Linked DNA regions of Macaca mulatta. The protein of the gene in region 1 interacts with the protein of each later gene in a biochemical or structural test. Links are inferred from orthologs where the notes say so. Each region holds a gene or a part of one and is shown in the gene's direction. Other genes may lie near its edges. The genes, in order: JAG1, CD46 and NOTCH2.

What was found.
Region 2: the proteins of JAG1 (region 1) and CD46 form a complex in vitro, tested with the Homo sapiens proteins (2 studies listed by IntAct, with this or other methods). The link is inferred for Macaca mulatta from reciprocal best matches to the Homo sapiens genes JAG1 and CD46.
Region 3: the proteins of JAG1 (region 1) and NOTCH2 form a complex in vitro, tested with the Homo sapiens proteins (2 studies listed by BioGRID). The link is inferred for Macaca mulatta from reciprocal best matches to the Homo sapiens genes JAG1 and NOTCH2.

What each region holds. Positions count from the first base shown.
Region 1 is NC_133415.1:73,377,003-73,380,649, forward strand, and holds part of JAG1 (protein jagged-1), read left to right. Parts: intron 1-456; coding exon 457-570; intron 571-1,062; coding exon 1,063-1,176; intron 1,177-1,275; coding exon 1,276-1,389; intron 1,390-1,551; coding exon 1,552-1,668; intron 1,669-2,141; coding exon 2,142-2,169; intron 2,170-2,655; coding exon 2,656-2,741; intron 2,742-3,647. UniProt on the Homo sapiens protein: Ligand for multiple Notch receptors and involved in the mediation of Notch signaling. May be involved in cell-fate decisions during hematopoiesis. Seems to be involved in early and late stages of mammalian cardiovascular development.
Region 2 is NC_133406.1:65,496,632-65,500,862, forward strand, and holds the start of CD46 (membrane cofactor protein), read left to right. Parts: upstream 1-1,337; 5' UTR 1,338-1,484; coding exon 1,485-1,581; intron 1,582-4,231. UniProt on the Homo sapiens protein: Acts as a cofactor for complement factor I, a serine protease which protects autologous cells against complement-mediated injury by cleaving C3b and C4b deposited on host tissue.
Region 3 is NC_133406.1:120,369,987-120,373,633, forward strand, and holds part of NOTCH2 (neurogenic locus notch homolog protein 2), read left to right. Parts: coding exon 1-140; intron 141-766; coding exon 767-1,068; intron 1,069-1,828; coding exon 1,829-1,976; intron 1,977-2,631; coding exon 2,632-2,729; intron 2,730-3,641; coding exon 3,642-3,647. UniProt on the Homo sapiens protein: Functions as a receptor for membrane-bound ligands Jagged-1 (JAG1), Jagged-2 (JAG2) and Delta-1 (DLL1) to regulate cell-fate determination.

The sequences.
Region 1 (3,647 bases):
GGGATTACAGGTGTGAGCCACTGCACCCCGCAGTGTTGAAATTGTTTTAATCAGAAACAGCAAGGCTGGGGAAGACCGGTCGAGGCTTATCTTTACATCTGGATCTAAGACTGAGGTCGTGTTCAATTTACCAGATCACTCTGCCTCGGAGCCTCCATATCTATGTTGGAACATTCTGGAATGTTGCTAGGTTGGGTGGTTCCTCTTTAGGAGTTTCTTCCCCACTTTCACCAAGTACAGGTGACTGAATGCCCATGTGAGGGCATTAAGTGGGTAAGGCACTCTGGAAGTTTCTGCTTGATAAGCCGCCTAATTTGAGAAACAGCCCTGATGGAGGGTGGCAGGTGGAGGTGCCAGGTGCATTGTGTCAGGAGGGAGCCATGAAAACTGCCGAACAGTGCTTGTCTATGGCTTCACTTGTCCTTCAGCTCTTTTTTTTTTTGCTTTGTTTGGTAGATATTAATGACTGTGAGAGCAACCCCTGTAGAAACGGTGGTACTTGCATCGATGGTGTCAACTCCTACAAGTGCATCTGTAGTGACGGCTGGGAGGGGGCCTACTGTGAAACCAGTGAGTCTGCCACTGTTTGGGGAGCTCTGGGATGTATGGGTCATATTGGAGGGATCCCACTTCAACGTGGGAAATCTTTCTTTGTCCTGGAAATCTCTGGAAGCAAGACCCCAGTGATTTCTGCAATAGGACAGTATCACTTGTGTCTCATTTGCGTTTGAGTACTGATGACAGCTTATGGGGAGGAATTTCTGCTGAGGAGCTATAGAATTAGACTGTGTAACAAATATTCCTGCTTGCAAGGAAAGTCATATTTCTACTTTAATTTCCATGGGACTTCCAGAGGCCCACCCCACATCTTGCCTAACTTGTGGCATTCAAAGTAACCTGGTTGGGAGCTCCTTTATTCCTGGAAAAGCCTGATTGTGTTAAAGTACTACGGCTGTTCTCAGAATAGGGTGTTGGATGTAGCAGTAGGAAAGGCTTGGCTCTCGCCTGTCGTGAGTGGTCCTGGACTTGGTCTTCAGCCGATTGTCTCCTCTTTGATTCTAGATATTAATGACTGCAGCCAGAACCCCTGCCACAATGGGGGCACGTGTCGCGACCTGGTCAACGACTTCTACTGTGACTGTAAAAACGGGTGGAAAGGAAAGACCTGCCACTCACGTAAGTGGTAGTTGGCCTTGGATGCTATCTCTGAGACCCTTCCCTCTGTCTCCTGTGGGAGGGGGCCACTGGGACTCACACTGAGATATTTTCCTCCAGGTGACAGTCAGTGTGACGAGGCCACGTGCAACAACGGTGGCACCTGCTATGATGAGGGGGATGCTTTTAAGTGCATGTGTCCTGGCGGCTGGGAAGGAACCACCTGTAACATAGGTAACTTTCTGCCCCACGTGGGATCTGCAGTGGGCATGGCCACCTGGGTGTGTCTGCTGGTTGGCCCCTGGAGCTTATGATATTTCTCTGGGCCTGGTTCTTGCCCCTCCAGACTGTTTCTGGATACTCAGGGAGGGTGGTCGTGTCTGCTCTTCTTTATAGCCCGAAACAGTAGCTGCCTGCCCAACCCCTGCCATAATGGGGGCACATGTGTGGTCAACGGCGAGTCCTTTACGTGCGTCTGCAAGGAAGGCTGGGAGGGGCCCATCTGTGCTCAGAGTGAGTGTCCTCCCCCTTGAACTCTCCCAGGGCTGTCGGAGCAGATCCTGACACCCTTGGGGACTTGCAATGGAAACCAGAAGCAGAGCTGTTTGATGTCTGCTTTTGTATCACCTGGGTCTGCATTAATGACTTGATGGGATACAGCCCTGACCTGGGCATGAGAAAGTCGCCAATGAGATAAGTGGAGACAGATGGCGTCTCAGTTCCCAGCTCTGGGTCTGACCAGCAGCCTGTCTCCTTCCATTCTCACCCCCACCCCTATCCCCTACCAGGGCCTCTTCCTGCGTACATGTGTCCCACAGCAAAACTAAGTGTGGTGCGGGCCTGGTTCCAATTTAGCGAAGGTATTTTGCTGGTGTTAACTACGACTTTATCATTTGGGTATTAAGGAAATAAGTGGTGGTTTTACTTAGGGCTAAGACCGCTTTCCCTTTTGAAGGCCTCACTATTAAGTTGTCTTTTCTTTGCAGATACCAATGACTGCAGCCCTCATCCCTGGTAAGTGTGACATCCTTTTAAGCCAGCACTCATCCAGTATCGTGTGTGTGTGTGTGTGTGTGTGCGTGTGTGTGTGAATCACCCAGGGATCGTGTGTAAAATGCAAGTTCTGAGTCAGGAGATCTGGGGTGGGGCTTCAGACTGCTTTTCTAACAAGCTCCCAGGTGAAGCGATCCTGCTGCTCCACGGACCACACTTTAATTAGCCAGCTTGTGTCCTCATTTAGAGCAGTGATTTTTCAACCTTGGCTGCACACCAGAATCACCTGGGAGCTTTTAAAAATCCCATTGCCTGGGCTGCAACCAAGACCTACGAAATTAGACTTTCTGGGGGTGGGACCCAGGCATCAGTATTCTTTAAAGCTCCCCAGGCAATAGCCATGGGGTGAGAGCCACTGACTGTAACTGGTGTGGTGACATGCGAGTGACTGGCAGCCAGAGTCATGGACTGGGAGGTTGGTAACCAAGGCGGTCTTTGCTTTCTCAGTTACAACAGCGGCACCTGTGTGGATGGAGACAACTGGTACCGGTGCGAATGTGCCCCGGGTTTTGCCGGACCTGACTGCAGAATAAGTAAGGACTGTCCCTGTCTGATTTTCCCAATGGCTTTACCCCTTCATTCCATACCTCAGCCCGAGACTTTCATCTTTAAAAACAAAGCCACCATTCCGTTTAAGTAGCTCTCAGAGAGCAAGGATCTCCCTCTTCCAGCTGGGATTAAGATATCCCAGGCTGGATCCTCCCAGGTACCTGCTGGTGGTTCCCTGGGTGGTGTCGCCCTCCTTGTTCTTGGGGAGAGAGTGCCAGCCACAGAATCTGATGATTACACTGGGGTCCTGAAGAAAGTGTGTGCATTTCCCCGTGACTAACATGAAATTATGGGCAAGCAGACATTAACCGCAGCTACACTGGTATAGGATAGAGCTAATACAAATGGAAGGGAGGACGACTGTGGCTTCCAGAGGCTTGTCTCTGCTGGGTCTGATCAGGCCCTGGAGAAATGACTAAAATAGGAAAATACGGGCAGGCAATGCAGTTTTTCAAGAAGTTTAAAACGTATTATTTCGAGCCTTTTCTCTAATTTTTTTTTTACAAGCCCTTTCTCTTACAGAACAAAAAAAGGTGCTAGAGTAGTTATGGTTTGATTCTTGTACCCAAATTGTCTGAAATTTTACTGGTGCTTGAAATCCAAGTCTGGGATTAACTAGTCTTCAGCACTAGATGGGGGCAGGTTGTATCTGTTTCATGTTTCTAAATAAACAGTTGGCAAACTGTGGCCTAGGGGCTGTATCCAGCCCACTGTCTGTTTTTATACATACAGTTTTCTTGGCATAGAGCCACACATTCATTTACGTATTGTCTATGGCTACTTTCATGATACCACAAGAGTTGAATAGTTGTGACAGAGACTATATACTCCACAAAGCCCGGCGTGTTTACCGTCTGACCCTTTCCAGGAAACTTTGCCAGGCTTGCTGT
Region 2 (4,231 bases), on another chromosome or scaffold:
AAAGGCATATGCCAATTTGAACTCTGCTTTTTCCACTTACAATTATATCAGTTTCTCATATTTGCTATTCTTTTGCAATATTTGCTGCATAGAATTCCATCACACAAAGCTAACTACCAGAAATTCCTTATTACTTTTGCTAGACACTTAGGGTTTACATTTTTTAAAATTTATAAATCTTTGATCACAGCTCTGATGATTTCTCTGGGAACTGATAGCCTAACAGAACTCATGTCCACTTTAAGACTTTTAACATTCTGAAAAATTGTATTACAAACAGAGCGCTGGTCTCCCTGCAACACGTTCACTCACACTGGCTGAGGTTTTAATTCTTTGCCAGTCTGAGAGGAAGAAATGCCAACTCTTTGTTTGCTCTTGTAATGCCAGTCATGTCCCTTTTTTTCCTGTTACCAGTCATACCGGTTTACTACTCAGAACCCTACAAATCAATCCTGCTCATTCTTAATTTTCCGATATTCTTCCTAAGATTGTTTCACCAGAAAACTTCTCCCCCTTATCCACTCTTCACCTAACAATTTCTACCCACCCCAATCCTCCTGCATTCATTGCTTCCAACTGGCACGTAGGACACCCTTGGTCTTACGTTGTTTATGCATGTGTATTTCGTCTTCAATAAAACATTCAGTTGCTCAAGGGCAAGGGCCCCATAGAGTCTCAATATGCTAACGGCCTGGTGTTGCCTAATAATTTAGATTCTGAGGGGTCCTCTCCAGGGAGGGGAGCAAAGAGCAAATTATCTTAGGGGCTGGGAGTGCAGAAGTCAAACCTTTGAGATTGTGAAAACAAGACGGCCCCGAGAAGATTCAGTAGCAGGTATTCAAGCAGGAAAAACTCACATATTGTTTCTAATAATGCCTGACTAATGCAAAATACCAAATAAGGGCCCAGGCAGTCCAGACGGCCTGCAGGGCCCCAGGATAAAACTAACCCTGAGGGGTGCTGGCCCACGGTGACCCCCTGCCTGGACTCTGGATCTCTGTTTTTACGTCGAAGTGCTTTATTCTTGATTCTCGAGTTCCCGGAAACGATGACCAAAGCAGCTTAGTTTTCCACCCTTCCTTGGTCACAAATATGACGATGAGGCAGCCCTTTCCCGCACGACGCCTCAGGGTTCCGGGATGGTCAGCCAAAAGTTTACCAAGAAAAGAGGCGGGTCCGGGAAGCCAGGGCAGATAGGCCCCGCCAGGGCCACGCCCTGTCTCCTCGAAGGCCAACGGCTGCCTCTGAGCCCCGAGGCCCGACCCCACAGCCCGCCGATTGGTCCCAGCCTCCCTCGTGAGTCGACTGACTTCCGCCCCCGGCGCGGTTCAGGCCACGCCCACCTGTTCTGCGGCCCTAGATACTTTGTGAGTTGGTGATTGTTGCGTACCATAGCCGGACTCAGAAGGGGCTTCCCTGCTCGGCTGGCTCTCGGTTTCTCTGCTCTCCCTCCGGAAAAATAGCGGCGTCTTCCGCATCGCGCCATGGCTTCTTCCGGCCGCCGCGAGCGTCCCTTTTCTTCCGGTCGGTTTCCTGGGTTGCTTTTGGCTACCCTCGTGTTGCAGCTATCCTCCTTCTCCGGTAGGACCCCGGGGCGAGTTCGCGCGTCCGCGGCGAGGCTAGAGCTCTGCGCAGTCAGTCGGGCAGGAGGCGCGGGGCGGGGCTCACTGCACGTCGTGCCTGCCTGGGATAGAGAGCGAGGCCAGGGTTCTCCGAGGGGTGTAGTGCTCAGATCCCGGGGGTATGTGGCGGGGATTGCGGGGACCACGCAGAGCCCGAGGTGAAGCTTGTTTCGGGGCGTGGTGTGCGCGGCCGGCATTTACGCAGGATCTGGCTGTGTCCCCTTCAAAAGCGTGAACAGTGTTTTCGGGATTGAGCCCTGTCGACAAGGGGAGTGCGGACTGCGCGCCCCAGGTGAGGGCTTGCTCTGGAGTGCACAGGTGCGTGGGAGTGTTGCTAGGGCCCGTGCTGTGCCCGTGGTGAGAGTTTGCCCTGTGTTCCCTTGGTGCCTTGGTGAGTGGAGTGTTCATTAGGGCTTGGACAGTACCCGCGGTAAGGGTTGCAGTGCGTCTGCTGTGCCCCATGTGCTGGACTGGGCTGGGCGAGAGGGGCCTGGCCAGGTGTTGCTGGGAGCCTGTTGTGCGCAAGTGGCCTGTGTGCGGAGTTCACTGTGGGCAAGACAGCTAGCTCACTGTTTGCTTTGAATGGAGTGAGCGCGGACGCTGGGGCTGGGGAGGGCATATTGGGTGAGAGGAGGCTCTCAGTGCCTGGTGTTAGAGAGGTGGTAAGGGCGCGCCATGCTTTTTGTGCCTTCTGTGAACAGACTTCTGTGTTGCCTGAGCTCCTATTAGTTTTTAAATGGCTGCTTTTTTGGGGGTGGGTGGACCATCGAGTCATTTTCCTGTTCCCAACCAATAGAGACAGTATCTGATTCCATTACCTAATGGATTTTTGACATTGTTTTCCTTCTTTTCATTAGAGTCATATTTGAGAGATGTGAAGCAACCTAAAAAACACTGGTAACCAAGCCTAGTGAGAAATTAGTATCCTAACAAAGGAAGGCAAATAATGTTAATCTTGTTTTCCCCTACAGCTCATAAACTAAAGCTTAAGGCCTATCCCACTAAATTTGTATTGTATTTCATTGAATGGAATCAGTAATTTTAAAAATGCATGCTAGGCCAGGCGCAGTGACTGACGCCTGTGATCCCAGCAGTTTGGGAAGCCCAGGCGGGGTGATTGCTTGTGCCCAGGAGTTCGAGATCAACGTGGGTAACATGGCAAAACCCCATCTGTACAAAAAATACAAAAATTAGCGGGGCATGGTGGTGTGTGCCCGTGGTCCCAGCTACTCTGGGGGCTGAGGTAGGAGATTCGCTTGAGCTCAGGAGGTGAAGGCTGCAGTGAGCTGTGATCATGCCACTGCACTCTAACCTGGATGACAGAGTGAGACCCTGTCAAAACAAAACAAAACAAAACAAACCGCTAAGAAATACATGCTTATTGTATGACACGAACAGAATCAAAAGACACTATTTTTAATATTTTGGTATATTTCTTTCTGACTTTATGTGCGCTTCATGTGTATCTATGTCCAAATTATATTTAGGATCTAATAACGTATAGTTTCTGTGTTGCATTTTTTTCCTTAGGAGCATTTGCTCAACGAATATGGGTTTTGTATGTCTATTGCTATTACACTGGTAGGCAATAACAAACCATTCCTATTTTCTTGATCCTTTTTTCACTATTGGTTTACACACACGTTCATGCAGGAAGATAAGCAGAGACTTTGTTTTGCTCGATGCTAAGTGCTCAGTGCCGGGAACACAGTAGGTAACCAATCAATTATTTGCTACAATGTATTGGGAGTGGCAGACATTAACCAAAACTTAATAGTAACAAATAAATTATGAACCAAGGGAAGTTCTCTGGAGGAAAGGCGTATAATTTTCAGATATAAATCTGACAGCATTTAACAGATGTCTCGAGGGAGGGAAGGCTTTTCTGCTCATCAAACAGACTTTGGGGCATCTGTGCTTGCTGTTCCCTCAGCCTGGGAACACTCTCCTCCTGACCTGCTGCAGAAACAGGCTTGCTCTTCTGCAAAGTCAGCTGGAAGGTTATGCCCTAGGAGACCTTCTCTGAACGCGCCCCCACAACGTCCCCGCCCCCACAACGTCCCCGCCCCCACAACGTCCCCGCCCCCACAACGTCCCCGCCCCCACAGCGTCCCCGCCCCCACAACGTCCCCGCCCCCACAACGTCCCCGCCCCCACAACGTCCCCGCCCCCACAACGTCCCCGCCCCCACAACGTCCCCCATCTCAGGTTGAACATACAACCCGGTTCAAGTCCCTCTTCACTTGTAATCACCCTTTTAAAATGACCTTTTCTGTTCTTTGTCTCTCCCTGTTAGAATGCAGGGATCCTGCCTGTGTTGTCAATACTTGTGGTTCCAAAAGCCCCATTTGTTTGCCTCCATATCTGTTAAATACCAGAAAATTAAATATACTATTCGGCTGGGGATTAGAGCCTAGGAAAAAGCTCCTCCTGCCTCCAAGAGGAAGGTTGTTTAAAGAGCTCTGCTCAGGATGGTCTTTCTGTGGTACCTAAAAAGCTAGGGCAGGGGCAGCTGAGGGCCAGAAAGGATCTGTCTCCCCTGTTTGTGTTAACTTTGCAGAGCTTCCGGTACTTCAGTCTTGCATCTCACTGATCATTAAAACGTTCAT
Region 3 (3,647 bases), on another chromosome or scaffold:
AGATGACCCCATTGATCGACGGCCATGGACACAGCAGCACCTTGAAGCTGCAGACATCCGTAGGACACCATCGCTGGCCCTCACCCCTCCTCAGGCAGAGCAGGAGGTGGATGTGTTGGATGTGAATGTCCGGGGCCCAGGTCAGCACCCGGCCTCTTCCCCTCTTCACTGGGCTGTGTCTGCCCATGGTTCCACATTGCTGTCCCTGTGTTTGCCCCATCCAGCCATATACCCCTTCCCAATTTCACAGACTGTAAATCAGCTTGAGGAAATGAATGCTTAAGAAATGTAGCCATGAAGAAATTATCAACTCAGAAAGGGAAGGATTTCACATTGCTTCACGAACAGTGTGTTGAGACTAAACAGGCTGATAAAATGGGTTAGATTGTAGTAGGATAGAAAAATAATATCCCAAAGCAGAGGATAGTTAGTTAATACCTTATGAATATATCAATTGCTCTATTAATATTACATATTTTTAAATGTCCAATTAAAATAACATATCACTTAAACTTGAACAGAAAAACTTGTTTTACTTAGAGAAGAACCCCCAGCTTAAAAAGACTTGTACTTTCCCATTATTCTTTACAGAAACGATGTTATCAGAGGAAAACGTAGCAAATGTGAAACTAATAACCAGTTACTACAAGAAGTGCAGGGAATTCTTTGCCCCTAAGAGTAACTAAAATAGAGCTGTTTCAAGCTGAAGATAGGGTTAACTGCCTTCTCCTTCTTGAGTACTTTATGGAATTTTCCATTCCTACAGATGGCTGCACCCCATTAATGTTGGCTTCTCTCCGAGGAGGCAGCTCAGATTTGAGTGATGAAGATGAAGATGCAGAGGACTCTTCTGCTAACATCATCACAGACTTGGTCTACCAAGGTGCCAGCCTCCAGGCCCAGACGGACCGGACTGGTGAGATGGCCCTGCACCTTGCAGCCCGCTACTCACGGGCTGATGCTGCCAAGCGTCTCCTGGATGCAGGTGCAGATGCCAATGCCCAGGACAACATGGGCCGCTGCCCCCTCCATGCTGCAGTGGCAGCTGATGCCCAAGGTGTCTTCCAGGTAAAGAACATGAGAAGAGTCACTTGAATAATAATTCCTATGGCTCTGTACAGTTTTATCTTTTTTAAGGAACTAATATCTCATTGAATTTATTCAATCATTTGAGAGATTAGGGCAGGTATTAGAGTCATGCCTGCTAGATGGGAAAGTGGGAAGGGAGACAGGCAAACTGACCCAGCTCTATATAGGAAGATAGTGATAGAGCCAACTGCAGACAACAGCAGTCTTTCTGATTATTAGTGATAATTTGTTGTGCCAAGATGCTTCCCAAATGCATAGATTAGATGAGAGTGATACCTGTTCTGGAGCCTTTGACTTGTATCCACTACTGCTTACGGATTGGCCTGACTGTATGGGCTTCCAGCTGCTCATTGGCAGTTTTCTTGACCTGAGTTCCTATTATATTCCCTGATGCCTGTTTATCCTTACGAGGAAATCGGAAGCATTCTGAATCACCTTAGACTGTAGACTGACTGAAGTTGTGATATTTCCCCACATCCCTCTTCTTTCCTGAGGAAGTAGAAGGCTCTTCACTTTACATCAGCCATTATTTATTGAGCACGTATTTGTTTATTTATTCAATCAACAACTATTTATTGATTGATGACGATAGAATCTTGGGCACAAAGATAACAAGACTTTCCCTCCCCTCTGGGAACCTACAGTGTAGCCTCAGCTCTGATGCCCTTGTTTCTTCACTGAGTTTCATTATTTTCCTTTATCCAGGTGACTCTCTTTTCTGTATTTTCTCCTCTTCTAGATTCTGATTCGCAACCGAGTAACTGATCTAGATGCCAGGATGAATGATGGTACTACACCCCTGATCCTGGCTGCCCGCCTGGCTGTGGAGGGAATGGTGGCAGAACTGATCAACTGCCAAGCAGATGTGAATGCAGTGGATGACCATGGTAGGGATGAAAGGCAGGGATTTGGATTCTTACCTGCAAAGCATGCCTCTGAGGAGGGGGAATGGTTACATGACCCTTAAAGAACTGTCTGAGATTCATATACATGGGAGATTCACTCATTCTTTCATTCATGCATTTATTCATTCTTCCTTTAACATGCTGAACTCAGAGATCCAAGCCAGTAGGAGATCCCTAATTAAAATGAGGGATTTTTAATGAGGGTTCTTGGACCTCAGAGCAGATACATGAAAGGTGTTCCCATGTAGTTTCCTAGGCATACCACTCTTGATTTGAGGATTTATGAGAGCTGACTTCTCTAGGAGAGTTGTGGAATATTCTCAATATAAATTCTGACATGTAATACATAGGTTTTTGTCTTCAGTATGTAACAGGGTAGATTCTGCCATGTAGGGGACATGAATACCTCATACAAGTGATCCTTTCACCTAGAGGTCTTCTGCAGGCTAGGCAGCCTGTACTGAAGTATTTCTAGAACAGAGGAAAAGGAAGAGATTACTTTGGTTTTTCCTATAGACCCCTACAGAGAACTGCTTCCTGCTGATCTCTGGGGAATTTAAAGTTTCGTTGTACAAGTCATGGTGTTTTTTACTAAGAGTATGATATGTCTGTTTATAAAAATGTTTCTCCCCTTCAGGAAAATCTGCCCTTCACTGGGCAGCTGCTGTCAATAATGTGGAGGCGACTCTTTTGCTGTTGAAAAATGGGGCTAACCGAGACATGCAGGACAACAAGGTACAATTTGTGGCTCTGAGTTTAAGGAGGCTCATAGCAGTGCCTCAGTTATAAGCCCCTTCCCATTTCTCCTTACAGCTTCTCTTGTGATATGTATAGACAAAGATGGAAGCAGTTTGGGCAGACACTGGGTTTGGAGAGCTTGATGAGAATATAGGGCTTGTCCAGGCATGTGTCAGGATGGAGTTCTTTTCCCTCTCAGTATTCAGCTTGCAGTAGGCTGGCTATAGATAGCTTGGTGTAACCTTTTCTCTCCCTGACATTCCTTTTCTCCAGCTGTCTCTTCTGTTCATAGTCACTTCTTTTTCTCTTGTTTTCTTTCTTTTTTCCCTCCTGCTGCTGCTTTTTCTATCCTTGGATACCCTGATGTTTTCCTGTTTGATTTTTCTCCGTCTGAGTTTTTTGTCCTGCTTCCTTCTGTCATTCATCTTCTCTCAGTTTTCTTCATTTTCCTCATCTTAGTCCTTTCTTGCACGTTTTGTCTCTTCTTTCTTTCACTGTTTCCCTTATTTTTCCCAGTCCTGTGCATGCCTTAGTTTTTTCTCTTCCTACCTTTCTTATTTCTAACTCCTTTTCCTATTAGAACCTTATTTTGATAAGCTCAGTACTCTTTTAAGTGAGTCTCTGGCTCAGGGGCATGCTTTATTTTATGAATTCCCAACTAAAGAGATGTTCCTCCTAAGGTGCAAAATTGTTTTTTGAGGAGAGGTGAAATAATCTTACTCTTTTTGTGTATAAATCACAGATATACATTCAGTACACTGGTAGAGGCACAGCCTATCTGTGATGTTAATATTTCATCGGGGAGATAATTAGGAAAACATGTCTAAGGGGGTGATAATAAGAAAGACTGAGAAAAACTGCTATATTCTCAAGAGTGTTAACGTGTTCTGTGATGGGCCTTTTCTGTAGGAAGAG